Linked DNA regions of Arabidopsis thaliana. The protein of the gene in region 3 interacts with the protein of the main gene of each other region in a biochemical or structural test. Each region holds a gene or a part of one and is shown on either strand. Other genes may lie near its edges. The genes, in order: GCR1, NDPK2, GP ALPHA 1 and PD1.

What was found.
Region 1: the proteins of GP ALPHA 1 (region 3) and GCR1 form a complex in vitro, tested with the Arabidopsis thaliana proteins (one study listed by BioGRID).
Region 2: the proteins of GP ALPHA 1 (region 3) and NDPK2 form a complex in vitro, tested with the Arabidopsis thaliana proteins (one study listed by BioGRID).
Region 4: the proteins of GP ALPHA 1 (region 3) and PD1 form a complex in vitro, tested with the Arabidopsis thaliana proteins (one study listed by BioGRID).

The regions. Positions count from the first base shown.
Region 1 is NC_003070.9:17,825,791-17,833,526, forward strand, and holds GCR1 (G-protein-coupled receptor 1), read right to left. Parts: upstream 4,631-7,736; 5' UTR 4,425-4,630; coding exon 4,242-4,424; intron 4,048-4,241; coding exon 4,016-4,047; intron 3,932-4,015; coding exon 3,762-3,931; intron 3,633-3,761; coding exon 3,538-3,632; intron 3,390-3,537; coding exon 3,288-3,389; intron 3,186-3,287; coding exon 3,129-3,185; intron 3,043-3,128; coding exon 2,899-3,042; intron 2,808-2,898; coding exon 2,737-2,807; intron 2,651-2,736; coding exon 2,524-2,650; 3' UTR 2,449-2,523; exon of another isoform or gene 2,365-2,448; 3' UTR 2,163-2,364; downstream 1-2,162. UniProt on the Arabidopsis thaliana protein: Together with GPA1, may regulate the cell cycle via a signaling cascade that uses phosphatidylinositol-specific phospholipase C (PI-PLC) as an effector and inositol 1,4,5-trisphosphate(IP(3)) as a second messenger.
Region 2 is NC_003076.8:25,369,592-25,376,867, reverse strand, and holds NDPK2 (nucleoside diphosphate kinase 2), read left to right. Parts: upstream 1-2,963; 5' UTR 2,964-3,029; coding exon 3,030-3,269; intron 3,270-3,449; coding exon 3,450-3,506; intron 3,507-3,651; coding exon 3,652-3,738; intron 3,739-3,958; coding exon 3,959-4,039; intron 4,040-4,133; coding exon 4,134-4,246; intron 4,247-4,335; coding exon 4,336-4,385; intron 4,386-4,678; coding exon 4,679-4,746; 3' UTR 4,747-4,964; downstream 4,965-7,276. Other genes in the region: NPX1 (nuclear protein X1), read left to right, coding at 46-116, 283-355, 440-523, 613-737, 835-901, 994-1,124, 1,214-2,455; AT5G63300 (Ribosomal protein S21 family protein), read right to left, coding at 5,093-5,746; AT5G63290 (Radical SAM superfamily protein), read left to right, coding at 5,974-6,797, 6,889-7,276. UniProt on the Arabidopsis thaliana protein: Major role in the synthesis of nucleoside triphosphates other than ATP. The ATP gamma phosphate is transferred to the NDP beta phosphate via a ping-pong mechanism, using a phosphorylated active-site intermediate. May activate MPK3 and MPK6.
Region 3 is NC_003071.7:11,194,426-11,203,397, reverse strand, and holds GP ALPHA 1 (G protein alpha subunit 1), read right to left. Parts: upstream 6,403-8,972; 5' UTR 5,930-6,402; exon of another isoform or gene 5,578-5,929; intron 5,441-5,577; 5' UTR 5,312-5,440; coding exon 5,252-5,311; intron 5,164-5,251; coding exon 5,091-5,163; intron 4,996-5,090; coding exon 4,958-4,995; intron 4,868-4,957; coding exon 4,778-4,867; intron 4,603-4,777; coding exon 4,525-4,602; intron 4,423-4,524; coding exon 4,315-4,422; intron 4,233-4,314; coding exon 4,131-4,232; intron 3,890-4,130; coding exon 3,834-3,889; intron 3,459-3,833; coding exon 3,324-3,458; intron 3,242-3,323; coding exon 3,148-3,241; intron 3,057-3,147; coding exon 2,997-3,056; intron 2,911-2,996; coding exon 2,831-2,910; intron 2,754-2,830; coding exon 2,576-2,753; 3' UTR 2,296-2,575; downstream 1-2,295. Other genes in the region: FAP2 (Chalcone-flavanone isomerase family protein), read right to left, coding at 86-122, 324-392, 527-629, 715-790, 918-1,152, 1,222-1,628. UniProt on the Arabidopsis thaliana protein: Exhibits a fast rate of basal nucleotide exchange. Guanine nucleotide-binding proteins (G proteins) are involved as modulators or transducers in various transmembrane signaling systems.
Region 4 is NC_003071.7:11,853,909-11,860,462, forward strand, and holds PD1 (prephenate dehydratase 1), read left to right. Parts: upstream 1-2,662; 5' UTR 2,663-2,899; coding exon 2,900-4,174; 3' UTR 4,175-4,380; downstream 4,381-6,554. Other genes in the region: NAT12 (nucleobase-ascorbate transporter 12), read left to right, coding at 1-11, 123-258, 424-474, 642-929, 1,056-1,290, 1,500-2,080. UniProt on the Arabidopsis thaliana protein: Converts the prephenate produced from the shikimate-chorismate pathway into phenylalanine. Together with GCR1 and GPA1, required for blue light-mediated synthesis of phenylpyruvate and subsequently of phenylalanine (Phe), in etiolated seedlings.

The DNA.
Region 1 (7,736 bases), on a different chromosome or scaffold from region 3:
GTAATCAACCCTGGTTTAGTCACTTTCACTGCATTAATCAATGCATTTGTAAAAAGAGGGAAAAGCATTGAAATTGTGTAAGGAGATGGATATGATCCGATTGTTTTTATCTGTTGTTTATCAATTTACTATTATTCACTGATCGATTTGATTTAATTAGATTTCGCATGATGTGTTTTTGTTTTGTTCAATTGTTATTTTTCAGATGCGAGAAAGTTTTTAAAAGGATAAAGTTCACTTGAAACAAATAACAAAAAGTAAAAAAAAAGACATAACCAAGAAAAATGATTAGGAGGAGGTTTGTATACAGGTCAACTAGAGTTGATTATATTTGTGTGAAGTAGTCTATGTAGTAATGTTTTAAAGGCATCAGATTTCACCTTTTTCTTGAAGTACATATTTGTTCAGTACTAATAGTACTAGAAAAAGTTTGTCACCTGTTTTTGTATAAAAATGTATTTGTTGTACTTTGTTTGAGATTGCATCATTTGAATCTATAAAGTGTAATCATGCAGTAGTTCCTTTGATCTCTCGTGTCCAAAGAATGTTATTTTTGTACATTGACGAATGGTTGTGCTACATCACAAGAGAAGAAGAAGACAACATAGTGGTAGACTGGTAGTCATTAACATAAGGAATTTAAAGGCATAACAAAAATAACCTACCAATCTCCATCCAAATGCTATGTATCATACGCCGTCTTCTTGTTATGGACCCATATTCATTTTTGAAAGGTTACTGTATTGCACAAACCACAGATGCAGCTTCTTTTATGGTCTCAATTGCATGCATTAGAGCTACAATATTCAAGTCTTTAAGTACATGACGCTCTCACTCTGATCTCTGATCCATAAACATCAAACTAAATTGAGTAGGCACAAATTCACCCTTCTTAGGAACATAATGGTAATGTATACCTTTGATTTTAATCTCTCTAATATCATTACTTTGCAGATCACAACAAAGAATGTACAACATATCAAACAAATAATCTGGTGTCATTATAACCTTGCCACTTTGAGTTATACCTTTTAACTCCAATCCAATCTAACGTTCTTGACCAAATGCAGCGGACAAGGTTGCAAAACCAGAGTTTTCGCCAACCACTCCTTTGTCCTGACATCTTCTAGAACCCATAAATTCACTGTACTCTTGTCTTCAAGATCGGTATGGTAAAAAACAGTTACTTTTCCGCCATATTCTATAAGACACACCTTCTTGATGGCTCTATGCAGGCTCACATCTTCTTCCCTGTGAGGTACTCGATCATTTTGAATTCTTCATATCCGATGTCGAAGCTCACAACCATATAATTAGACGAATCAATCCAAGCCAGGTAATGTATAACCCCATTCAATGATAGTCCTTGTCTAAGAGGAAGGTGAGGATAAAAGTCCACGGGAGGCAAAGTCACCTTTTTCCACGAACCTCCAGGTTTTAGGTCAAAGACCCAATGGTCTGATGATAAAATAAAATATCCGACGACAACTGAGCAGAGTAACTTTGTACTGTTCGTTAATAGGGTAATGTCCAAAATAGTAACACCACTTCGACCTTTCTGGAGCCGAGGTTTTGGTTTTTAATTTTATGGTGGGCAAGGTCACAAGTTGTCTGGTGGTAGGGTTATACATTCGCGGTTTTTTCAAAAATGTGTAGCAGATGAAGCCACTAAGTTTTTGTAAGATCTTGCCTCCCCTATCTCGGATGGTCAACAACAAAGGAGGAAGATGGACTAGTAGCGGATGGAGCTAATGATAGGATTTTAGAGGGACGGTAGTCCTCGAAATGTGATACACAAATGTAAATTCGTTGAGATGGGACCTTAATGAAACGACTGGTAAAGTATGGACTATGGAGAGCGTATGATAGATGACCAGAGCTTTGAGACGCACTTGAATCCATTAGGGTTTTAACAGGGAATCTCGTAAGAATCTCTGTCACCACATCCGTTGGAATCTCCAGTAGTGCTTGGCTTCGTCTTCTTTTCTTCTTTCTCCACTGTTGGATCACTGTTAGACGAAAAGACAAACCCATCTCAATCCCCACCCGAGTTTGAAGACAGAGTCGTTCAGTCTTGGGGAGAAAGAAATCGCGGTGATCTCTAGGGTTTTGAAGATTGATACGAATTTTGTAATTCCTCTTTAGAAACGGCGCCGGTTTAAGTGATAGTATTTTCATATGACTTACGTAACAAAACTCTTCAACATTGTCGTCCAAGAACTCCAAGTTCGTTAATTTCAAATCAAGATCAGAAGACCTCACAATAAAAAAGTTCATACAAAAATAAATAAATTGTTAAGTTCGTGTTCCCAAAGAATGTTTCATATACATTGACAACCTGTTGTGCACCCCCCTTCACCATATCTAAGAGAGAAACACAAAACAAAACACACTTACTGATCCATGTAAACGGAAATTAAAGACAAAACAATCATAGAGGAAACTTACCAATCTCTCCATCCAAACGCTATTATCATCGCCGCCTTCTTGTTATCGGTCCAATGTATTAGTTGAAAGTTAGTGTCATTGCTGGTCCTCGGTCTTGAGTGATACCATTTCGCTTCGCTGTTGTTGTTGCTGATGTAGAATCAGATGGTTTTTTGGTCTGAAATTGCTTGGAAGCCATCGATATAGCCGTTCTGGCAAGAATCTAGCAGACCAAGGGTTTCATAAAAATCAAGCTTCATTGATTATTGGGAATAATATAGCAAACCAAAGAGATCGGTGGTGACTTACAGCTCCAGTCTCTCATGGATTGCTCGACGCACTGAGCTGTTGAAACCATAGGCTATTGAATTGAACAAGCCCTGAAAATACAACATTCAGAACATCGACTCGGGAAGAGCAAAGATGATCTATGGCGAATTTTATAACTTATTTATTTGATAGGTTTGCTACCATTAGTGCAGCTGTCCCAACGTCAAGAACTGAGAGCCAGAAGATCTTATGCCCTGGCTCGATGAAATCATGGATACGGTTAATAGTGCCGAATGCCCATGATCCTATTAGAATGAGTGGATAGTATCCCCATCTGTTCAACACCTGTGGTTTCAGGAAACAAGCAGTGAGGTTTTAATGATGAAATCCAGCCACATGATACAGAACTAGTATTGGCAATAAAGACAGACCTTTAACTCTGCTCTATTATCAAATTGATCGACTCGGTCTGACATTCCAACTGCCATCTGAAATTAACATTGCCATTTCAGCACACAGCCAAGTGTATCAGTAACGTTTGTGAACTACTTTCAGAAGACAATGTTATTAGAGATGAGAGAGTTACATACACGTCTAGCATTTCTTAGCATCCGTATCACTTGGAAGTAAGTAAACCCATTGTAAAGAATGGCTCCCCAAAGAGGAGCGTAGAAAGTTAAAAAATGAACAGCCTGCAAAATTCAAGAGGTGATATGAGTTCCAGTAACGAAGAATAAAATACTAGTCTACATTCATCTGGCCCAGCGTTGCAACAAAAAAGTTCAAATGCCTTTTGATAGGCATTGAAATCTTTATGCTCAACTAAGCATTCTCACTTGCCTTTCCCTTAAGACCAGTTTGCGTCCAGCACCATGGCCCCAAATGTGAGTGGTTGTTACCAAAAGAACGTATGACAGTCACAACCAAGGAAGTCCCTGAGAAAAGTAACTAAAATCAGAGTCTTACTAAATCACCAAAGAAGATACTAACACATTCTAATCCTTAACCCTAGGTGGATATAGTAACAATTGAGAACCGAAACCCACGAGTATCATTTTACATACCCCATACATACAAATGAAACATTGCTTCCAAATCCTCCACATCAGTTTTATGCTTGACAACAGTACGATGAAGAGTGAAAGCAATTGTAGTTGTCCACAAGAACGAAGCAACGCAGAAGAAATGAGTAGTGTAGCCTTGTGCGTAACAAATGAACCCCTTTGAAGGATCCCTACAGTGATCAAGATGTAACAATCATCTTATCAAAATAATCTCAACAAGATTCACCAGAACCAATAGTAGTAGATAAACATACCCAACGATTAGGAAGAAACTGCAAAGCATATCCTGCAACAATTAAAAACATTGCCATTAGTCAGCAATAGAGCTCGAACCCTCACTACTCATCTCAGAACGCAATGGAACTTAACGTCTTAGCGATGTAACAATTCACAGTGAGAATAATCGAAGAAGAAGGAAGCAAAACAGTACATAATCCTAGATCTAGCACAATCAGCGAAAGGCAACAACGGGAAACTTACAGAGAGAGCAAGGTAGAAGACGAGCTTGAAAGAGAATTTTCGAAGTTCTTTGAAGAGGCAGTAGCAGAGAACGATGAAGGCTGAGCCGACGAATGAGAGACTCGAAGCGCCGGTGTTAATCGCCGTAATAATGCTGCGATCCCCGGCAGTTAAGCCTCCGCCGGCTGTGAGAACCGCCGACATTGTTATATGTGATTCCAAAACTGATCTGAGAGATTGAATTGACGATTTCCGCTGTTCGTGTTCGTCGTTTCCGTCGCGTGGTATCTTCCCCGACGGACGTTGCGTGGTGGGCTAACCTCTTACCCGGGTCGGATCGGTCGGGTCAAGTCGTGTCTTTTGAACCGGACTCCTCGTAGTGCACTTCTTTAGGCCCAGCCCAATGATTTTGTTAAGCATTAATTCATATATGCTATATTAATTATTAAAAACATTTATATGATGTTATTTACATGTCAAGTTATCACATATTTTTGGAAAATTTTAATTTTATACATGTATGAATATTTAAATTATACTAGGTAATAACTTATGTTATGCACATGTAAATATTATACTATTTAATTTTATAATTAATCTTATTTATAGTATACTCTATATAAAAATAAATATATATATATATATATATATATATAATATTATAACAAATTATGTATACTATTGTTTTTAAATAAATTATCTACACGACTATACTATCAATCACCGAGCACAAAAATACCTAGGCATGGCCTTCTGACCCGTTTTGCCCCTTTCAAGTAAATGAATTTTGGACTTGTTATAACATATAAAATATGATTATTTGCTAAATAACTTGATTTGGCTTATTACTTGCTAAATAATTTGATATTGCTTGTTACTTGTAAAATAATTGCAACTTGAATCGAAAAAAAATCTCATATACAATAGAAATTACAAAACATTCAAAGTTTCAAGCATCCTAAGCACAAAACATTCAAATAAAAATAAGTTATATATAAGCAAGTAATATATATAACAAGCTTGTACTTGCAAGTCATAAATTTATACTATTTATTAGCTGATTATTAACGACAATTATTTGTTTTTCAAAACGAATATAAAACACGTACGTAAGAACTAATAATAAGCAAATAACGAGCATTGGCTAGGTTGTCAGAATGTTGAATAGAGGCGGCGAATAAGTCTAAGTGGCATTGCTATCTTGTTGAGTTAGTATAGAAGTCCACGATTGCTTTTACGTTTTTGCGTTAGTTCTCAGAGAAGTTGTAGACTTCTATCTTGAAGTTTTGTGGACGGATCTTGGATAGTTTTGCTCGTGGCAATTAAGATGATGATTCCAGTTCTTCGGTTTTGTGGCAACCACACAATTTTCTGAGCTTCGCGGGTTCGGAATCGGTGTTTCTTTTTGCAATTTGGCTTTGACCACTTAGTAGTGATCCTTTGCATCTTGAGTTGTAATGTTGTTTTTATATTTACGTAGATTGCTTTAATCTGTTTCTAGTTTTCTCTGTAATTCTATCACAAACTAAAAATAGTATAAAATTTCACCTTTTACCAAAAAAAATAACAAGTATTAGTACCCTAATTTACGATAGTTAATGGCTGTAAGGCTAAAACTACCAAGCGGAGAAGACCATAAAAATTATAAAACATAAAAATATAATATAATTAGGTTAATGATGGAGACATTCTTCCACACATTGACACATATTGCTTCTCGTGTCCTCACTCTTTGTATATATAAGTTCATGGATCTCCCTGATTATTATTTATGTATTGCTTTTGGTCGTAAACCCCGTGGCTAGACTTATCACAATTCGTAATATAATTTACGTATACATGTTATAATGACTGTTTATTATATATATTAAATGATTTTCGTGTGCTAATTTACCCAATGACATATCATCTACTAAATGGCAACAAACGTACAAAAACCAAACAGACGAATTTTGTCAATCCACACAAAATTACATAAATTTAATTAGTACAGCAATTACGAATTATCTTCATACATTGAAATTTTATGATGGCTTGTCTAAACATGTTAGTTACGTTGCAATATTATCCCGACCCGCTCAGACTGAGAATTACATAATAGCCTTTCTATAGTCAAATACAAATAGTTCATACACGAGGTGATTGTTAGTAATACATTATTGTGAAGTACTGAAATTTTTTAGCTAATATTACTTACAAAATTCCTGGATTAATTCATTATCATGTCCGAATATATTCTAAAAAAAAACTTCTTGATGACTTAATTAACAACGGATCAAAAAATTTATTCGTTAAACCATAAAATAAAAAAAATGGCAAATATATAAATAAACATTTACTATGAGTCTATGACATACTAAATCATTGATATTGGCATAAATAACTCTGGAAATGTTTACTTCAATTGAGAGGTATACGGAAAAATACTCTTCCTCTAGGAACATGACCCATCATCTAATCCAATTTTCTAATTTGGATAATTTATAACACATGTCATTATCCTTTCGGTTTTATTCGATCTTTAGTTATAGTTTGCATACAAAAAGGGTACACCTGATTTTGTCCGTATTAAACTATTGTTTCATTCGTACTCCATTTATGAAATAGATCTCCATTTATGAAATAGACGTCTACATATGACTTACATATACATGATTTTTTTTTTGTTTCTTTCGTTTTCCTTATACTTTAATTATTAAACAATATTTTTCTTCCGGTTTCCCCAAGTTTTTAACCCTTCCAAGACATCTCTCGTACCATTAAGCTTATATTATTATTTTTTATAAGAAATTCCATATAAGAAACCTATTCATTTTCATTCCTGCAGAGATATAAAGAACTCACATAGTCACATATGAATATAATATCATCATATAAGAGCTGCATGTGTAATCAGCGAGCATCATCCTCATCATTAATGAGAATGTAAAGAGCTTTTTTTTTGGGGAAGACGACTATCACCAGTATTCATCTTCCTTCTTCCAGAGTTTCATCTCCAAGGTACTATTTCTCTTTAATGCCTTAAGTGATATGTATCCTTCATCTGCCTCTCCATATCTCTTTTTGAAAATTAAGGAGAATAAACAGCGATTTCATTGATCTTTGGTCAATGTCTTTGTTGGATATATGGGTTTTAGTTTCTATTATATACAAACCCTAAACTCTTTTTGTTTCACTAAACCACAGTTATCAATTTATCATCTGCGACCAAACTTGAATATATAGAAATCTCATGTTGTAGTTTTACCTATACTACATTGTGTTTCATTTTTTTTCTTTAATTACCCACTAATCTACAAATACGGAAGTTCTTTCGCACAACACACGCAAATTAATCTTAACGATTCTTACTTGAGAGCTTTACATGGTATATCATTTACGTATATCTATCTATCCTATTTTGAAATAACCATGTTATATATAGTACGTACTTATGATATCTTTTCTACACTAATGTAATATATACAATATACTTTGCTACGTTTCGGAATCAGGTTCGGAATTAACATTTATTTG
Region 2 (7,276 bases), on a different chromosome or scaffold from region 3:
TAGGAAGTGCTTTTTATACTGATGTGTTCTGTGATTATCTTTCAGATTCTGATTCTTGTAGTTCCTCTGGGAGTGAAACAGATTCTATTAAAGCTTCAAAACCCACAAGTAGAGAGGTATATCTAACAGTGGAATAACTTATGTTATGGAGTCTCTGTGTTTGGATGTTGCTCTAATTTCTGCAAGATTTTTCATTTACTCACCAATATTTCCATGGACTATTTGCAATCATAAAAGTGAAATTACTACAGAAAAATAAGTATAGTCTCCTCTTTAATTTAGGAAAAAAAGCAACCAGGAGTTGGTATAGACAAAAAAGAGGATGATAGCAACAGTGAGAAGATAGTTGTAAATGGTTAGTCTCTTTATAATTGATGTATGCAAGTTGGAGTGCTCGGATATAGAAGTCTTCCCGACACTCATTCTTTGTTCTCTGTAGATTCTTTGAATGAATTGGATCAACTTGAGCATACTGTTGGGGAAAAGTCAACCACCATGGATGCAGTAGTTCTCGTTCCAGATGGTAAGAAATGAAAGTTAAGGAAGGTTGGAGATGGTAATAGATGTTTATTTTCAGATCATGAGTTTACCTGTCATGCTTTGGTATTATAGAGGAGACTGCTCCACCTGAGAGGCAAATTTCCCCAGATTCCCCAGATAAGCGTTACCGCGCGGCTTTCTTGAAGAATCGTTTTGCTGATACCATTATGAAAGCTCGAGAGAAGGCTTTTACCAAGGTTGAATTTTTAAGTGTCCGATCTACTGTGTTGACGAAAAAGCTCGCCTGAACTTGTGGATTGTTTTAATCAAAAAATTTAATGCATCAAATTTCAGGGTGAAAAAGGGGATCCTGAAAAATTGAGGATAGAAAGAGAGGAGTTTGAAAAACGGCTACGGGAAGGTTGGATTGTAGTGCATTCGAGTGTGCTTATGTACCCATAATTCCTAACTAAATACTTTTATTTTTAATTCTTGCGATTTCCGTTTGATTAGAAAAAGAACGGTTACAAGCCGAGGCCAAAGCAGCTGAGGAGGCTCGGAGAAAAGCCAAAGCAGAAGCCGCAGAAAAAGCGAGGAGGGAAAGAGAGCAAGAGAGAGAAGCTGCACGTCAAGCTTTACAAAAGGTATAAAAGACTTTTCGAGTTTCTCTTCTATTATTCAGAGCCCTACCATGGTGTACAATCATGATAAATGACTTTCTGGTCTGTTGCAGATGGAAAAGACAGTGGAGATAAACGAGGGCATACGGTTTATGGAAGACCTCCAGATGCTTAGAGCTACAGGTACAGAAGGTGATCAATTACCGACTTCCATGGAAGTGATGAGTCCCAAGTTTAGTGAGGATATGTTGGGTTTGGGTAGTTTCAAGATGGAAAGCAACAGTAATCCATTAGAACATCTAGGTCTGTATATGAAAATGGATGAGGATGAGGATGAAGAAGAAGACCCGCCACACTTTAGCCAGAGAAAAGTAGAAGACAATCCCTTTGACAGAAGTGAAAAACAGGAACATAGTCCTCACAGAGTAGAAGGAGAGGATCAACTCGTTAGCGGAAATGAAGAGCCGGTGAGCCAAGAGGCACATGATAATGGGGACCAAGAAGATGGAAAACCCATAAACCCAAATGAAATAGAACGACAACTGGAGAATATGCCAGAGCAAGAAAGTGGAGTTGGTGACAAGGAAGAGCAAGAAACTGAAGTTGTCGATATGAGAAAGCAAGAAAATGAAGTTGTTGATATGGGAGTGGAAGAAGTACATCCCCTTGACCGAAGTGAAGGGCGTACACTCAGTCCTCACAGAAAAGAGAGAGAGGACCCACGTGCTAGCGGTAATGAAGAATCGGTAAGCGAAAAGGCACAAGATTATGAGAACCAAAGAGATGAAAAAATCAATCAAAGCGAGAGAGAAGAACAATTGGAGAATGTGCTAGAGCAAGAAAGTAGTAGAGATGATGATACAGGAGAGCAAGAAACTGAAGTTGTCGGAGTAGGAAAAGAACTTTCCCTTGACAAAAGTGAAGGACAAACACTTAGTCCTCACAGAGAAGAGGGAGAGAACCAACTCGATTGTGGAAACGAAGAACTGGTAAGCCAAAAGACACAAGATAATGGGAACCAAGAAGATGAAAAATCCATCAATAAAATTGAAGGAGAAGAACAATTGGCGAATGTGCCAGAGCAAGAAAGTAGAGTTACTGAAAAAGAAGAACAAGAAACTGGAGTTGTCGACTTGGGAGAGCAAAAAAGCGAAGTTGTCGAAAAGGGGGTAGAAGAAAATGAAGCTGTTGACAATGGTGAGGGAGTGCAAGGAACTGAAGTTTCGGACAAGGGAGGAAACGAAACTGTAGTTGATGGCAATGGAAAGGTAGAAACCGAAGTTGTGGACAAGGCAGGGCAAAAAACTGACCTTGTTGACCAGGGAGAGGAAGATATAGATGTAGAAATTGATTGATGAAGTCTTTTTTCCGGGTCTTGTTAAAAGCAACAAGATGAAAAGAAAAAGTTGGGGATGTTTACGCATTGATTCTTCTATGCACAAAATGTAAATTTGATGTGGCGTGAAATGGCTAAAGCAAGCAAAAGAAAGGCAAAGCCAGATACATCTAGAAGACAAGACGATGAGTCTGTATTGCCTATTTTTCAACGTGACTCTGTTGACAATGATTCTAAATCGACGAAAAAAGAAAAAGAAAAAAACAATTTTGCTACAAGAAAGATGGTTTGGTTTGGTATTAAAGCAGCAAATTGTGCGACTGTTGAAATGTGCAGACTTTTGTTTTTTTTAATCTTTTAGAAGAGTAAACTGTACAGGGAAAGAGAAAGAGTCTGTTTCCTCCATTTAAACGAGACACTCTTTGTACTCGAGATCACTTTTTAAATTACTTCTGAGCACTGATACTTTTTGATTGATCAACTAAACCCAAATTATCTTCGCTTCTGGATAAAGGGTATTTATGTCAATTAACTTTGTTCTTATAAGATGATGATGCGAAGACACTGAGAGAAGCTAAGACAAAGCGCAGAAAATGGTGGGAGCGACTGTAGTTAGTAAATGGACTCCCCTATGTGTGGCTTCGCCGCCGGAGAGAAACTCGGCAAGTCTCAATCCACACTGTTCTCCAGCCAGGGTTAATTTTAGAACAGCGTTGGCCGCATTTCGTCCTCAGTTCCGTCTTTTCTCTCGCAATTCCGCGTCTCGCCGCCGTCTTCGCGCTTCCAGCTCCGCCGAATCGGGAATCTTCCTTCCTCACCTTGTAGCTTCTATGGTTTGTGTGCTTCCCCTCCATTTATGCGAATTACTTTGTTTTCTTAGTACTTACATTGATTAAACTCCGAAATCAGGAATTTAGGATTCAAATTAGTTTGGATATATTCTAATTTGATGAATCTCAATGCAATTTAGTGACCTTTTGATTGTTCTTACGTTGTTTTCTGTATTGTTTCAGGAGGACGTTGAGGAGACTTACATTATGGTGAAACCTGATGGCATACAACGAGGCCTTGTAAGCGTTTTTGCTTTTCATTTTTTTTCTTCTTCTGATTTTGAGGTTAAATTATGTATCTTGGAACTCTATGGAGCTTTGAATGTTATTTCATTACACTATCTTGGCTTAAATTATGAATGTATGATTCATTTGATGTTCTTAGGTAGGAGAAATCATTTCTCGCTTTGAGAAAAAGGGGTTTAAACTTATTGGGCTCAAGATGTTTCAGTGCCCAAAAGAATTGGCTGAGGTTTGACACTCACTCATTACATCAGTAGTTTGATAACTTTAGATTGCTTCTTAATGTGATATAACTAATAAATCATTGACAAGTATCGAGAAATTGAAGCCTGATCATGACTTGCATATTTCACTTATTCGCTACATTTGCGTAAGATGACGCTGCCTCATTTTTTTTTCATATTCGATTGACATAATTAATATTCTTGTGTGTTTATCTCAATTGCCAGGAGCATTATAAGGATCTTAGTGCTAAATCATTCTTTCCTAACCTGATTGAGTACATCACTTCAGGTCCAGTTGTGTGTATGGTATGGGTATAACTATGCTCTAATTTGATTTTTACTTGTTTTCAAGTTGTAATTAGATGAGTTAATTGCATGTGATGTTTTAAACCTGGTAAAGGCTTGGGAAGGTGTTGGTGTTGTTGCTTCAGCCAGGAAGCTAATAGGGAAAACAGATCCGCTTCAAGCTGAACCTGGTACTATAAGAGGAGATCTTGCTGTGCAAACCGGAAGGTTGGACTTCTATCATCTTTAAAATTGTTGGAAGTAAGCACTTAAAATAATTCTCATGGTTTGATATTTTTAAATTATGCAATTTGCAGGAACATTGTGCATGGTAGTGACAGCCCTGAAAACGGCAAGCGTGAGATTGGTGAGATTTCTTGTTTTTTGTTCAAATCATTCACCCATCTTTCATTGTTGAGACATTGACTATGTCCAGTTTAGGGGCAAATCAACGTGGTTCAAACTGCTTCAAATTAACTTGATAACATAACTAGATTAGATCATACTTGATTACTGAAATTGTTAGGTTCAATATATCTGTTTTAAACCATTACTATCACTTCTTCATTTACTTAGTTTGACCAATCACTCTCATTCCTTAGTATGCTAAACTTTTAGTTTTCATTTGCTGACATTTTGGCTCTTGTGGTTGTGGCATAGGTCTGTGGTTCAAAGAGGGCGAGCTATGCAAGTGGGATTCGGCTCTAGCTACATGGCTAAGGGAGTGATCCTTGAGAAGACAGAGTCAATTATAATGGTGTCCTTACTTGTTTTCTTGTTACCGATGATGAGCTTTGGTGTTTTGTTCCTGATTTTGGGCGGCAATATAATATAACTGCCAATCTATGGCTTGATTCTTCTCATATCTGTGATCACTTGTCATGTAATCAAAACTAGTTACAGATTCATCTGCATTTGGTTCTACGTTACAGACACCTCCAAAATCATTCATCTTCACTCTACACCGAGCAATGAAAATTTTCTAATCTCAAGCTAAAAGAACATACAAAAGAGTGGCTTTACAAAACGCAGATGCTGCGTGATTAAGATTGCTCAGATCAGTGTACCGGAATATCATTCCGGTTTACTTCTAAGACCGGTTGGTATATGGAATCTCAATGTCCTCAGGAGGAAGTTCCCAGTGATCGTCTTGTTCGTCTTCTCTGGATGCATTTCTGTTGTGCTTGCGGATCTCTGAAGTTGATAGTGGTTTTGGTTTAGGGTTTGGTCTCCTGTAAAATCAAAATCTATTGACTCAACTTCTCCAAGTGTTTTTCGAAAGAAAGAAGAAAAAGTGAAAAAAAAATCTGACCTTTTCCGATACTTCTTCGCAGCTTCTTTGGTCTTCCGCGTCTTCTTCTCCAGAGAGCTCTCGAAGAAGCGTCGTCTTCGAGATTCCTGCAACACACCCGCTCTGAAACACGACCTCTTGAAATCGTTAACCAGCTGCTCCTCCGATTCGCCGTCTTTAGGCACCACCTCGACGTTGTAGTAACTGGACTTGAAGAATACGAGATTCGCGTTCGCCAGCGAAGGATACGCCACTCGATTGATGACGTCATCGTGCTCGGCCGTTAAAATCTTCGTCGTCATCGACAAATGCTGTGACGTTCTCGCGGATACGGAAGACGGAAGCGTGATAGGTTTCAGACTCGACGGAGACGGTGGTTTCGACGAGAGAAGGGAAGAGAGAAGCTCCGAGAGAGAGACTATCGATTCTAGCGCCATTTTTTTTTCCGTCTGAATAAGTGAATAATCGTTTCATTCTTATTATAATATTTTTCAATTGTAATTAGTGTGTTAATTAGATGGTCAAGTCTTTAGTGAGTCTACTTTCTGACTAAAACGACGACGTTGAAGCATATAAAACGAGACCAGTGAACTTTGATCTTTGAAAGCTTTCTCTCTTCGTCTCTCTGGCTCTCTTTCTTTTTCTCTCGTTTTATTTGGTAATTATGCTGAAAACAACGATTTCTCCAATTTTCTCATCGTTTACAGGTAAACCCAAGTGCTCATCGAAGTTGTTTTTTCGAGCTTTTAGTAAGGTTGTTCTACAAGATACTCCACCAAGTGCTCGACGAAATGCGTCAACCAATCTTACTACGTTACACAAAGGTCCACCAACCTCAGCCTACGTTCATCTTCCGTTTTGTCGCAAACGCTGTCATTATTGTGACTTTCCTATCTTAGCTCTAGGCATGTCTTCTTCTTCAGCCAGACCGTCTAATGTCTACGAGGAAGGAAAAGAAGATGACCCGAGAATCACGAACTATGTGAATTTGCTTGTTAGAGAGATAAAAGCGACAAGGACGGATTTTGATACGAACCCGAATCTAGAAACGGTGTTTTTCGGTGGTGGGACGCCTTCTCTTGTTCCTCCGAAGCTTGTTTCTTTGATTCTGGAAACATTGAGTTTGAATTTCGGGCTGAGTCCAGATGCTGAGATATCAATGGAGATGGATCCAGGCACGTTTGATGGTCAGAAGCTGAAGGATTTGATGAAATTGGGAGTTAACAGAGTGTCTTTAGGAGTTCAAGCTTTTCAAGATGAGCTTTTGAAAGCTTGTGGAAGAGCTCATGGTGTCTCTCAAGTGTATGAAGCAATAGAGTTTGTTAAAGAATGTGGAGTTGAGAATTGGAGTATGGATCTTATTTCTTCTCTGCCTCACCAGACTTTGGAGATGTGGGAAGAGAGTTTGAGATTAGCTATCGAATCACAGCCCAATCATGTTTCTGTATATGATCTGCAAGTCGAACAAGGCACAAAGTTTGGAAATTTGTAAGTGTACGTAGTTCAAGTTTGCTTACTGATGCTTAAGAACTTGAATGTAATCTGAACAGAAACGAATTGGGTTCATGAACTTGTGTAGGTACACTCCAGGACAGTCCCCTCTTCCTTCAGAAACACAGTCTGCAGAGTTTTATAAAACAGCATCATCGATGCTCCGTGGTGCAGGTTATGAACATTATGAAGTCAGCAGTTACTCGAGAGACGGTTTCAAGTGCAAACACAACTTGATATACTGGAAGAACAAGCCATTCTATGCTTTCGGTTTAGGTTCAGCGAGTTATGTTGGAGGGTTGAGGTTTTCAAGGCCAAGGAGGCTAAAGGAATACACAAACTATGTCGCTGACTTGGAGAATGGCGCAGCAAACTGGTGTGGAAATGGTGATGTTGATCTTAAGGATGTTGCAACAGACATCTTAATGCTATCTTTCAGAACATCTAAAGGGCTTGAACTTAAGGAGTTTGGAGAA
Region 3 (8,972 bases):
AATAAAAATGGAGAAGCGTATGATGTAGCAAAGCGTAATCCACAGTGCTTATCAGAGTACAAACTACACTCGGTGTATCATTTACCTTAACCAAGCGAGCACGCAGAGATTTCTCGAAAACACTGAAAACATAGACAAACAAGGGAAGGGATTAATTTGCCATCTATCAGTGTAATGCGCCTCAAATCATCAAATGGCAAGTAAATAGATTAAAATAAAAGAAACTAAAAGTGAGAATCAATTAAGGACCATAACACCTTCACGATTCATGAACATAGTTCAAAACAATACAAGATGTTCAATATGTAGCAACTTCCACTTACTCTCTCACAGTATTGATCTTCAAGCCATTGTAGTTAACCACAAGCCTCACACTCATAACAATATCCTCCCTGAAAAAAACTCAAATAAAAGACTTTCAGACGAAATGTCCAATCAAAGCTACACCAACTAAATCAGATTAGAGTGGACTTCAAACAAATAAAAGTGCACAATTCTAATAATATGAAAAAGATTGCTATAATACCTAAGAAGGTCTTTGTATAAGTCATCGCATTTGTCAAGTTTGCTTGCTGGAACCGAGGCATACTTTCGGCCAAGCTTCTGACAGACCGAGGAAGGGTGAACATCTAATCCAGAGAAGTTCAAGTTAGAAGCAAAAGATGACAAATTGTTCCATATATATAGAAAGATACAAAGCTAGAATGCACTTACAAAAACCAAATGCATATACTTTTAGAGATTTAATTCTGATAATTTTCATTGTCCGAGATCCCGTTGCAACAAGCACCTTAAATTATGATGAATTCAAAACGTATTAACTTTTCGAAATTTAAATCAAATCTCTTCTTTGGTGACTCTAACATAAGTTGTAATGACAAAGAATAACAAACTGAGGAAGAAAAAGCTATAAGAACCTCAGAATTCGATCGCGAAGCATTCTCCTTCAACAACATCGGGAACTCGATCCCCGTCCTAGGCTCCACTGATTGTCTTGTCCAGTCTAATTTTTGAAAACTCAAACCACTATATTCTTCACATCCCACCTGACAAGTCCTATGTTCAGTGTTCTCCGGACAAGTCCTATGTTCAATGTTCTCCCTAAGTTTAACATCATTACTCCCTAGTGGCAGAGCAAGTCCATTTGCAGACCTAATAAAATCTACAATCAGAAACTTCCCCAAAGAGAGTTTTAGCACTAAACAATATTACTAAACTTACATGACATTCAAAGACGGTATCATCGCAGCCGCCAAAGAGAGCAAAGAACACGAATGTAGCCTCTCAGCTTCATTAACAAAATGCTGAATAGTGGATTTAGATATGTTTCCAAAGAAGCCAGGACTAATATCTTTTGATACATAGTGAAATGGGAACACAGAGACGTTCCTATGTTCAAACACATGTTTTAAAGAATCACGGCTCTTACAAGTTAATCCCCATTGATGTTTAGATACTTCTTTTTGCAAGTTTCCATGTGAAAACCAACAAAGCAAAGCTCCTGTAAACTTAGAGATACAACTAAATGCTTCGAAAGCTAAGCTTCCAGGTATATGTAATTGTGAAAACAACTCATGTTGTAAGAAACTTCTCTTAGGTAAAACTGAATTAGGATCCATATTTGACATTTATAAGCTTTTGAATATAACTCCAATTGTACCAAAGATTCTGCAAGAAAAATCAAACAAAGACAAATTCTCAAATCAAAATCAATGGCTAACGAATCAAATCAAAGCTGAATCAACAACAACAATCACAAACAAGCCTTGATCTAAATGGTTCCCTAACAAAACCAATTTCGTGATCTTTGAGAGTTTCGTATTAATCAAACTAAGAAGCGATTGTTATCATTATCGTATAACAGAAAAAGCAAAATCAGAACACCATTGGAAGAAAGAGAGAACAACAACATACATGTTTCAGAGGATTGCTCGAAAACGGAATCAAAAACAGAGGAAGAAGAATCAATGAAGCTTTTTTTTTTTTTTGGGATCTATTAACGAAAGAGAAGAAGGAATATTCTTTGACGTAAGAAACAACAACGGCGAAGAGTTTTTTGCTTTCAGGGTTCTTCTTTCTTCGGTGCAATTATTTTTAAAGTCGCTTTTTCGAATGTTCTGAAATCACGGTAGACCCCATGTGTTTTACTTTTATTTCAGTTTTTACATCATATTTTGTATTTGTTCAGTTTCACCCCCATACTTTTTTTTAATGTAAGAACTTTTTCATGTTAGGAACATTCCAAAACTTTTTAGTACTGATAAAGTTACGTTTTGTGTTGTGTTTCACTTTCTAGATTTCGGGATGTGGATGCCTCATTTTAATAATAATATAACCCCAAAAACAAGATCAAAATGAGATGTTTTTGATGAGAAAAAAAAATAAGAAGTCAAAGACAGAGGAATGTTAACAAAAACAATGATAAAATAGAAACTAGTCGTAGCCATCGAGACACATTAGATTTTGAATCGCTAAGTCTTTTGTCCCGAAAGATAAATTACACGGTCATTCAGTTTTCGAGTTTTTCTTATAATAATAAGGAGAGGTAATTTACTAGAGATATGTAATAATAAGGTCATAAAAGGCCAGCCTCCAGTAAATTTCTCCTTCTTAGTGTCTCATCTACGAGCTTGAACGTTTTCTTTACAAGCTTCTGGTCCAAAGCCGTCGTCCTGTAGATTTTGAATACCCTGTCCACTCTATCCGGCGCCGTGTTCTGGTAATATAACTCCTCAAACTTCTTCTTCACAAACCTGAATCCAAATTAAAAATAAGGTCATATAACGGTAACAGTTTGGCGGGAATCAGTAAAGTTTGGAGACAAGCTTACTCGTATGCATGCTCAATCTCTTGTTTCCCACTTGAAACTGGTTGGTAATCTCTGAACCACTCGCAAACGTTCAACGGAACCTATGCACATTGAATAAGAAAGCGTTATTGAACAAAAAGACTTGCTTGCCTATCAAAACAAATAAATATGCTTTAGTTCTTCTTACGTCAAGAACTTTCTTCTCAAATATGTCGAACTTGTTCAAGAACAGCATGAAGGATGTTTTCTGCGTAAAGAGAACCAAGTTTTTGTAACCAAACCCATCTCAAGAGTGTCTTTAAATTTTTAAAAGATGAGATAAAAATGTAACTAAAAACCTCAAAACAGGGTTGTTTCAGGACCCAGTCGAATAATTCCTTGGTCTCCATCATCCTGTTTTTCTGCTCGTCCTCAAAGAGCGTTTGGTCGTACCTATGATCAAAACTCAGTTAATGTTTTGGCAATATGTGGACAGTACGAGGATATCTTATAATTTATAATGAAGTGAGCTTACTCGCTGATGGCAGCACAAAATATCACAGCTGTTACACCTTCAAACAGATGAATCCATTTCCTCCTCTCATTTCTCTGTCCACCCACGTCAAACAATCGGTACACTTCACCACTTTTTTTATTCTCTCCCACAGGGCTGCATAAACGAAGCTTTATCTCATATACCATTTGTGAATTCATCTTTGGTAACGGATCATTACAAGTAGATTCACCACAACAACAAGTTTGATATTGGTATGGAATTCATATGTTCTATTAGTACATCTTAGTGGCAATCATAGGAATCGAATCCGTAAACACTTTTATTCATTTCACCAAATAACTTACACATCGCAGAGAGACTACATTAACAAGATTGTTGCTGAGCTGTTAACACAGCTACTACAAACCGCCTAGCTAATCATATTGCCTAGTGAACCAGACTAACACTTAGAGCTTATCAAACAATTACTCATCTATGAAAGACTAACAATCAAACAGGAAAAAGGGTAAAACAAAAAGTAGTTGGTACCTGAACTGTATTTCCACGACACCAGTTGTGCGAACTCTTGCATAAAGTACATCCTCCTGAAACACCAACATAGAAAAAATGCACCAATGACAACACATTCCGGAAGACACATGTCACAGAAATTGCATATTGACTCTGGTCTCTGAAAATGCTAGCTCAACTAGGCTAATATGGAAAGCAAAAGGCTTCTGTTTGTTAATACATTGATCCTCCGAGGCTGATCCAATGAGTTTTATTCAACCATTTTAAGATCATTACTTGAAATGTTTTCAACAAAGAATGATACTTTGGTTATACCTTAGTTGGAATATAATTTATATCTGATAGTCTCTTCAAGTTCTCCATCAGATATTTCGTACAATCAGGAACCTGAAGCTCATTACCACGAGCACAAGTTTCCTACAAAATGAAACGTTTAAATCATGTATTCAACTTTGAGTGCAATAGTAAATAAAACGTGCACACACACACACAAACACACCTGAATTGCAGGATCCTTCCATAGTGTTTCTATTCCCTCAGCGATGTCCTTGGTAAGACGTGGATAGTCTAACCTACCACCAATCTCAGATAGTTTCTCCCCAATTGCCTGATATTACGATAATAAGTTGACTACCATAAGACAAGGTACTCACAAGACTCAAAACTCTAACAAAGACAGCTCAAGTGACCTATGAATCTAACCACTTACAATACTTTCAGAAGATAACATATATTTAGCAGAATCTGTTTCATTTTGAGCAAACTCCTTTGTTCCATCATGCAATAACTGTTCAACAATATAGAGTAGCTATTAAGCTACATGTACAATATACCAAGATCAACATATGAAAAAAATTTGATTACTCATATAAATGATTCTCTAGATTGTAAATCCAAAAGAACTCGAAAACACCGCCAATTAGAAGGATAAAACCGACACAGTCATTTCAAGTATTGCATACTTTTATAGTCTGATAGACATTGGCATGAATGACTGGAACATAGCTCTTTAGTTCTCCTTCATCAAATCCCGTTTGGAATAGAAGTTTTATCTGCAAATTAGTAAATTTGTATCATTCAATTAGCAGGATTCATAAGTAAATTTAAGTAAAGAGTACAATCAATTTTCCTTGTGGACTTGCCTGCTTAAAAATTGTAGATTTTCCAGATTCCCCAGCACCTTTACAAAACACAAGTCAGAAAATTAGAGGAAAACTATTACCAAAAGATTCATCAAGGCATGCCATTCACATTTCTAATCCAAGGTCTACATACCAAGTAGCAAAAGCTTCCGAATATGCTTTTCAGCCTTTGCTTCTTGCTCTATCCGTCTTTCGATTTCAGCAGCCTGTAGATTAATACAAACCAAGTTAACTCTTGAAGTATCAGAAATAATGCTCCCATACATCGAGTGTTACAAGAGCTCTTAAGTCAACCTGTGTATTCTCATCAGTATCTTCAGTATGATGTCGACTTCTACTGCAGAGTAAGCCCATGATTGTTTCTATATCCCCACAGGTAATAACATAGAAGTCGAAAACTATCAAGATTCAAGCTCCACAGCTAAAAACAAATACTTGAGCTTCCAGCTACAGTTGCTTCTCATAACAAGACAATGCCTACACCTACTTATGAAACAATCAATACTTTAGCTCAAAATTCATAAATATACATAAAGTTTCACTCACCAAAATAGCAAACATGTTCAAAGAATGCAAGTAAGAAAAAGCATTAAACTTTATAATATATACTGGATTAGTACCTCTCAAATGAAACAAGTTCAGTAGTTAAGAAAATGAGCTCTAAAAGTCGAGTAGCTAACACCATTAAGAAATTCAAAAACTGTGAGATAGCAAATCAAGTAATAGATAGAGTTCACACTTGAACTGCTATAATCAGATCCAAAGAATCATAATTTTCATTTCCAATCTACAGTAACGACGAACTGATCTACAAAACCCTAAACTTGAAAAACAAAACCAATTCGAAACGAAACAGAAAAACAACAGAACAAGGAGGAGAACTAGGACAAGATCTGAGTAATAAAAAACAAAACTTTCATAAAACCCAAAAGAGTAAATTTGGGGTAAGAAGAAAAGTAAAGTAGAATTCACCTGAAGAAGAAAAAGAAATGGAGTCAAAGGTAGTGAAGAAGATATCGGAGTTCGCAAACAAGAAGAAGAAGAAGAAGAAGAAAGTACAAAACAAGGTCTGAGAAGAGAGCAGAAGAAGAAGAAGTAGTACTTCTGCTTCTCCTGTTTCTATTATTGTTTTACCACTTTCTTTCCGCTTTAATGTTTTTGCTTCACTCTTTTGGATTTATTCTCTCCTTTTTATTATAAATACATAAAATGCAAATTATGAATTTAATTAAAAATAAAATAAAAATGGATATATTTTTAATATTTGGTCAAAAAGAAAGAAAGAAAATGTTAAGCAAAGGGGAAGACGAAATTACGCCGAAAGGTCCTGAGAGAGAGAGAGAGAGAGTGGTCAAATGTTGAAAAAAGATGTGCCTCTCGTGACGATAAAGAAGATTAATTACGGAACCTATATGCATTTTTATTTTATATACTATTAAGTTAACCATTATTGGAAGAGAATTACTAAGTGTGGCAAGACAAAACAAATTTGGAATTTTATGACATCAAGTCCTTGTATCGAAATATCTTGATTTTTGCTTTGCAGTTGCATTACAAGCTGGACTCTACTTATATCTAGAATGGGTTTTGCTAGCTTAGGAAATATATTGCAGTTTTGATTTAGGAAAGAAAATAAAGATTCAAAATCGATAAAAACACAACATATCATATAGTACTTTAAATCTTCAACCTACAAAAACATCACATCCGTTAAATCCTTACAATCATTAACATCGACTTGAACTTCTCACAAAATGTTTCCACTGAGAAACGGTCTTGGCGAGTGATGGTATATTTATTGGTTGGGCTTAAATATATTTCAGATGCAAAACCATATTGAATCAATAAATTATAAATACATAGCTTCCCTAACCACTTAAACCACCAGCTACAAAACCAATAAACCCGATCAATCATTATGTTTTCATAGGATTTCCTGAACATACATTAAATTATTTTTCATTTTCTTGGTGCTCTTTTCTGTCTTATTCACGTTTTAATGGACATAATCGGTTTCATATTGTAAATCTCTTTAACCTAACGAACAATTTAATGACCCTAGTAATAGGATAAGAAGGTCGTGAAAAATGAACGAGAAAAAACCCACCAAAACACTATATAAGAAAGACCGAAAAAGTAAAAAGGGTGAGCCATAAACCAAAAACCTTACCAGATGTTGTCAAAGAACAAAAATCATCATCCATGATTAACCTACGCTTCACTACTAAGACAAGGCGATTGTGTCCCGGTTGAAAAGGTTGTAAAACAGTTTGAGGATGCTACAAAAGTGGATGTTAAGTATGAAGCGGCTAAGGTTTTGGATTTGGTCTAGGAGCACATTGGTTAAGCAATATCTTCGGTGGAGATTGAGTTTTTAGAGATAGTAGATACTAATTCATCTATGGAGACATGCAAATTCATCAAAATGCTTGGATGAATTAGAAAAACTAGGTGGAGAATACAGTAAAAAAATTCAAAAAGTGCATATTGTTTGGACAACATTAATATGTACAAATAGTTTACATTTAAATGTATTATTTTACTAATTAAGTACATATAAAGTTGCTAAACTAAACTAATATAATTTTTGCATAAGTAAATTTATCGTTAAAAGTTTTCTTTCTAGCCACTAAACAACAATACAAAATCGCCCAAGTCACCCATTAATTAATTTAGAAGTGAAAAACAAAATCTTAATTATATGGACGATCTTGTCTACCATATTTCAAGGGCTACAGGCCTACAGCCGCCGAATAAATCTTACCAGCCTTAAACCAGAACAACGGCAAATAAGTTCATGTGGCGGCTGGTGATGATTCACAATTTCCCCGACAGTTCTATGATAATGAAACTATATAATTATTGTACGTACATACATGCATGCGACGAACAACACTTCAATTTAATTGTTAGTATTAAATTACATTTATAGTGAAGTATGTTGGGACGATTAGACGGATACAATGCACTTATGTTCTCCGGAAAATGAATCATTTGTGTTCAGAGCATGACTCCAAGAGTCAAAAAAGTTATTAAATTTATTTGAATTTAAAACTTAAAAATAGTGTAATTTTTAACCACCCGCTGCCGCAAACGTTGGCGGAAGAATACGCGGTGTTAAACAATTTTTGTGATCGTTGTCAAACATTTGTAACCGCAATCTCTACTGCACAATCTGTTACGTTTACAATTTACAAGTTAGTATAGAAGAACGTTCGTACCTGAAGACCAACCGACCTTTAGTTATTGAATAAATGATTATTTAGTTAAGAGTAACAAAATCAATGGTTCAAATTTGTTTCTCTTCCTTACTTCTTAAATTTTAATCATGGAAGAAACAAAGTCAACGGACATCCAATTATGGCCTAATCATCTCATTCTCCTTTCAACAAGGCGAATCAAATCTTCTTTATACGTAATATTTATTTGCCAGCCTGAAATGTATACCAAATCATTTTTAAATTAATTGCCTAAATTATTAGAACAAAAACTATTAGTAAATAACTAATTAGTCTTATGAAACTAGAAATCGAGATAGTGGAATATAGAGAGACACCATTAAATTCACAAAATCATTTTTAAATTACCTAAATTATTACAACAAAAACTATTAGACAGAACTAAGTCTATAATGAAACGAGAGATCGTATTTGGAATGTAGAGCGAGAGACAATTTTCAATTCATTGAATATATAAGCAAAATTATATAGCCCGTAGACTTTGGTGAGATGAAGTCTAAGTACAAACAACTGAATGAATTTATAATCAATAATATTGATTATATTGTGATTAGAAAAAGAAAACAACTTGCGTTATTTTTCAATATTATTGTGAGGATTAATGTGAACATGGAATCGTGTTTCTCCTGAAAAAAATATCAGCATAGAGCTTAGAACAATATAAATATATCCACCAAAAATAACTTCAACATTTTTATACAACTAATACAAAAAAAAAAAAGCAAACTTTTTGTATATATAAATAAATTTGAAAACTCAAAGGTCGGTCAGTACGA
Region 4 (6,554 bases), 660 kb from region 3:
CTGATTTTGAGGTATACATCTCTGAGTTTGTCCTATTTGCTGTTTTGTTTACACATGGTTGTTGTGGCTTTGTGTGGTGCAGTATTAACTTGTATTCATAATTCTCTTGACCTTCTGTATAGGTTGGTCAATCCAGTAGTTGTTGCTCCGACGGTAGCTGCAGTTGGACTTTCCTTTTACAGCTATGGTTTCCCGCTTGTTGGTAAATGTCTTGAGATCGGTGTTGTGCAGATACTACTTGTGATCATCTTTGCTCTTGTAAGTTTAGTGAAGTTACTTTTATCCGCCCTCTTTGCAAATGGAGTTTGTTTGGATGCTAGTTACAAGTTTTGATTTTCTTCTTGAAGTTATGTTACTTCAAAAATTTCATATCACATCAGGTTCATGTCAACAAAATTTGATACTTTCCCATTCTTTCTGCAGTACCTCCGGAAAATCTCAGTTTTAAGCCATCGTATTTTCCTTATTTATGCGGTAAGTAGGTTCATGTCTGCTTTTCCTTAGCTCTTTCGGTATATAGGAAAAGTAAGACTCGAGTAATCTTTACCTCAATTGAATCAACTCTGATAATGTGGTAATCATCTGACATTTCCAACTCTACATGTGACTTTGACTGACCTAATTTAACTTCTTACTGACAGGTTCCATTGAGTCTTGCAATCACTTGGGCTGCTGCATTCCTTTTAACTGAAACAGGAGCTTACACCTACAAAGGTTGTGACCCAAACGTTCCTGTCTCAAATGTTGTATCGACCCACTGCAGAAAATACATGACCAGAATGAAGTACTGTCGGGTTGATACTTCTCATGCGCTGAGTTCCGCCCCATGGTTTAGGTTTCCTTACCCCTTGCAATGGGGTGTACCGTTATTCAACTGGAAAATGGCTTTTGTTATGTGTGTGGTCTCCGTAATTGCTTCAGTAGATTCGGTTAGTGTTTCCTATCATCTTTGATTAAACCATCAAAATTATGTGTTGGAAGTCAAACTTTTGCACTTTTACTAATCAGTTTACGGTACGGTATGCATATATGGTAATTTTTTATTTTACTGTCAGGTTGGTTCGTACCATGCTTCTTCTCTATTAGTAGCATCGAGGCCTCCAACTCGTGGTGTTGTGAGTCGGGCAATCGGTCTTGAAGGTTTCACAAGTGTCTTAGCCGGTCTTTGGGGTACAGGTACTGGTTCAACCACTCTAACCGAAAACGTTCACACAATCGCTGTGACCAAAATGGGAAGCCGCAGAGTTGTTGAGTTAGGCGCGTGTGTTTTGGTTATATTTTCTCTTGTTGGTAAGTAAGTGGCACTGCTTATTTATCTTCAAGTTTCAAGTTCTCTATTTCATAATTTTTTTTTTGAATGTAACTCTATTTCATAATTTACATGACCTCTTTAGCAAATACAAGTAACTATACATCAATAGCATCTGAAAATTAGCTCAACTGTACAACAGGTACCATTTTTTACTCTCTTTGACTAAAACAGTTTTTGATGTCCTCAGGTAAGGTTGGAGGGTTTCTCGCATCAATTCCGCAAGTCATGGTTGCTTCTCTTCTGTGCTTCATGTGGGCAATGTTTACGGCTTTAGGTCTTTCCAACTTACGTTATAGTGAAGCTGGAAGCTCGCGGAATATCATAATTGTTGGGTTGTCGCTGTTCTTTTCTCTCTCTGTCCCAGCTTACTTCCAGCAGTATGGCATATCTCCAAACTCGAATCTCTCTGTTCCAAGTTATTACCAACCTTACATTGTTTCTTCACATGGACCCTTCAAAAGCCAATACAAAGGGGTACGTTACGCTTTGCGCTCACTTTCATTTTCACAGGACCTTCAGTTTTCATATCTTCTAGTGTATTTGCAGATGAACTACGTGATGAACACGCTCTTGTCAATGAGCATGGTGATTGCGTTCATCATGGCTGTGATTTTGGACAACACGGTCCCGGGGAGCAAGCAAGAACGCGGAGTTTATGTTTGGTCTGACAGTGAGACTGCAACAAGAGAACCAGCACTTGCTAAAGACTATGAACTGCCGTTTCGGGTGGGGAGGTTTTTCAGATGGGTCAAATGGGTGGGCATTTGATAAAACAACAACACAATGGCAAAAAGTGGTAAATATGTCAGATGAGAGATCCCTCTTTTTCTTTTCTTTTTCCCGTCGTCTCTGTTATTTTGATTAGTAGTCTCTCAATTTTATAACACGGTGGAAGCTTTTTCTTGGGTCACAAGTTTGTCAATTGGAGAGTTTTTGGTTATTGAAACAGAGAATATGGAAGTCATGTTGTTGTAAGTTATATAGATTATGATCAAATGCTTTTGTAACTAGAGTTATTCTTTTTTCTCACTATCTATCTTATTCCTTGTTTGTTAAATCTATTGCGAATTTAAAAGATTTTGGTGGGTCAGTTACGTATATGGATTGGTTTAAAGTTTAGACTTTAGACTTTTGAGAGTTGGTTATAACATACAAATGGTATATAAAAATATCCAATTATTTGGAAGAGTTTGGTACCTAAAATACTATAAAACAAAAGTAGATGGATGTGATCTAACCTTTCCCTTGCTACTTTTATATGTACCATAAATATCTTAAATAAATAAATTGGATGATAAACAAATACAATTTGAGTTGCATAAATTTAGGGATTAATATGGATTTTGGTTTGAGATTATTAAAAAAAAAAGTGAGACTATTCAAGAAAAATTTGGATTGAAAAAGATATGACATCGTTTGGGCTTATCTCTCTTGGCCCACCATTACGCAAATGGTGGTAGGTAGGTGAAGAACGGTGAGAGGCACAAGATCATTCCACGCTCTTCCTCTCTTCTCCTATAACAACAACACTCTTCACTTACTCTTAAACAAAACATTTCCATAACCAAAAAACCTCAAAATAAAAAAATGAGAACTCTCTTACCTTCCCATACTCCGGCAACGGTAACAACGGCGGCGAGAAGAAGACACGTCATACATTGCGCCGGTAAGAGATCTGACTCTTTCTCCATTAATTCCAGTAGCTCCGATTGGCAAAGCTCCTGCGCCATTCTCTCAAGCAAAGTTAACTCACAAGAACAATCTGAATCCTTATCTTCCAATTCCAATGGATCATCATCCTACCACGTTTCCGCCGTCAACGGTCACAACAACGGCGCCGGAGTCTCAGATTTGAATCTAGTTCCATTCAACAACAACCAATCGATTCAATCGAAGAAGCCTTTAAGTATTTCAGATCTATCTCCAGCTCCGATGCATGGATCTAACCTCCGTGTAGCTTATCAAGGTGTTCCCGGAGCTTACTCCGAAGCCGCCGCTGGTAAAGCTTATCCTAACTGTCAAGCGATTCCTTGCGATCAATTCGAAGTTGCGTTTCAAGCGGTTGAGCTTTGGATCGCCGATCGCGCTGTTTTACCCGTCGAAAACTCACTCGGCGGTTCGATTCATCGTAATTACGATCTTCTCCTCCGTCACCGTCTTCACATCGTCGGCGAAGTTCAGCTTCCGGTTCATCATTGTCTCATTGCTCTTCCCGGTGTACGGAAAGAGTTTCTCACTCGTGTGATCTCTCATCCTCAAGGACTAGCTCAATGCGAACACACGTTGACTAAACTCGGTCTCAACGTAGCTCGTGAAGCTGTTGATGATACCGCCGGTGCGGCGGAGTTTATCGCTGCGAATAATATCCGTGACACCGCCGCGATTGCGAGTGCACGCGCGGCGGAGATCTACGGATTGGAGATTTTGGAAGATGGGATACAAGATGACGCGAGTAACGTCACGCGCTTTGTGATGTTGGCGCGTGAACCGATTATACCGAGAACTGATCGGCCGTTTAAGACGAGTATAGTGTTTGCTCACGAGAAAGGCACGTGCGTTTTGTTTAAGGTTCTCTCTGCTTTTGCGTTTAGGAACATTAGTTTGACTAAGATTGAGTCTAGGCCGAACCATAATGTTCCTATTAGGCTAGTCGATGAGGCTAATGTGGGCACGGCTAAGCATTTTGAGTATATGTTTTATATCGACTTCGAGGCTTCCATGGCCGAGTCACGTGCTCAGAATGCGCTTTCTGAGGTTCAAGAGTTTACGTCGTTTTTACGGGTTTTGGGGAGTTATCCGATGGATATGACTTCTTGGTCACCATCGTCTTCGTCCTCTTCGTCATCAACATTTTCATTGTGACAACACTAAGATCATAACCAACGTGTGAAGTCAATTGTGTATGTAAATTGGAGAAGAAAGTTGTAAACATAATTTTGGTGAAAATAAATTACTTATTTCTCCAAAGATCAATCTTTTGTATTTTGCTGTTTACATTATTATACTTTGGAGTTTCGTTTGATCGTAGTTTTATTATGAAATTGCAAGTTTTGAGTTGATTTATTCTCTATTTGACCATAATTTTTTTTTTGTTTACAAACTATCTTAACCAACAATAATTGAGACATTTCTAATCAGTTCTAATTATTTAAGCGTTTGAAGACAAACAATAAATTTGAGTGATTTATTTTTTGAATTGTTATTTAGCTCCCTGTAATAGTGTTAAACTTGTGATTTTTCTCAATCCAAATAATAAGCACTTGATAATTGCTATCAAGAACAAACATGGGCCTTAAACAAACTAACCTGAAAGCCTTTATATCGTAAATTAGAAACCCATATACATGAAAAGCCCAAACATGAGCGACATCAATAACAATTATTGTTTAAAATTCATACGTTAATATTCTGTATTTGATATAGATCAACATCGACTCTTTCAGTTTCGACTTTGGGCAATTAAAACAAAGATTATGATCCCGTTTTCTTCAATCCATCGACATAAAAAATCAACTACATATTATGGTACTTCTCATCTATCGTTCTTTATCAAGCATCACCCCCTTAAATTCTAAATATAAGCTTCGATAGATAATAATATATCAAGCTTGAGATGCTGTCATCCGGGGGAGGCAACATCCCCAAACTTAAAAATAAAAGAGAGAACATTTTCTGCTCAAAATAAAATGAAGATAACTTTGTCGCGTAGCAAAAGCATCATTAATTCAAATGCAAATTGGGGTAGTATCGTGGAAGGCTATCTATCAAATTTGTGCAGATAGCCACGTTTCTATTATGTGTATTAACGAAATTTGCTTCTTATTATTATATCAGCCATGAGATTCAATCTTTCTAAATAAAATTGCATTTTCAATCATAACACTTTTTATGGTTATAATATAATTAGGCCACGTGAAGCATCAAAGCGAAGAAGCTCGTATACATACCAGAACAAAAACTAATATTAGGTCCACTCCTATTTTGATTAGTTTAAAATTAGATATTTCGTTAAACCTCACATAAGTTGGTCATATAATATTTTGCAAAGAGGTTTACTTACGTAATCTTATGCCCAACATAAATAATTGATCTATTTTATGTTATGCTTCGACCCTCGATAAGTCAAGTTTAGCTGCAATAATAGTTCGTGTATTTCTTGATTCTTTGATTTAATACTTATGCAACGTAATTGTCCAAATGATGTTACTATACTATGCAATTATTGAGGAGACTAATTGCAAAACAAGTTGAAGAGGATGAGATTGGTCACGTCTCCGGCATCTTTCAGTTATGTCGGCCGTTTGGTCCCATCTTCGCTTTCTGTTCCTGCCATGTGTTTTTTGTATGTTACACCGTGTTTCTATTTGTTTGTAATTAAGAGAGACTTGGCCTTGTACTCTTGTAGGCCTAGCTTTGTTCGTTGAACCTCTTTTTTTTTATTTTTTTTGTTCGTCGAACCTTGCAAGAGTCTTATCTCCAGTCTTACCCGGTTTAACTAGCTAGTGCTTAAATAAGTCTTGTTTATAATTTGTAAACTTTCAAAACTAGATATCGTTATATCATCTATCTTATGATAATTAATACAGAAATGAGAAAAGCAACATAAATACATACTACATAATAAAAATACGTAGTTTTCTAACATGCTTTTATTTCACAAAACATAGAAAAAAAACTGTGTGCACTTTGTGAAAAAGATTGTTTTGCTTCATGCATTTGTGAAATAATACATATCAGATCAATTTTATGTATCGTACTTTGAATTCATAAAAATTGTCTGATTCATGCATTCAAATCCATTATGAAGTTTTCTGTTACAAATGCATCTTTTAGTAAAAAAGGAAGTATATAATTAAAATTCATTTGAAGTTTTCTGTTACTAATGCATCATGTACATGAATATACTGTAGTAAAATTTCTACTAAAGGGAATGAACTTATTCTCATAATTACTTTGATTTCACAAAGATTACACAAAATCAATTGTGTTGACCAAACTAAAATACTACTACTAAACTTAATTAAAAACAATGATAATCATTGAGTATTTCAAGAGGTGAACACTATATTACAAAGTAACCAATGAAAATAACAAAGAGTCGAGTCCAAACCAAAACCTTAGTCCAAATTGGTTTCTACGACCCAGTGGATATAACAATTTCATAAAATTCATAGCCACCGGTTAAACCTGGACCCAATACCGAACTCACACACATAACTGAAACTCCAGTTCACCTCCTATA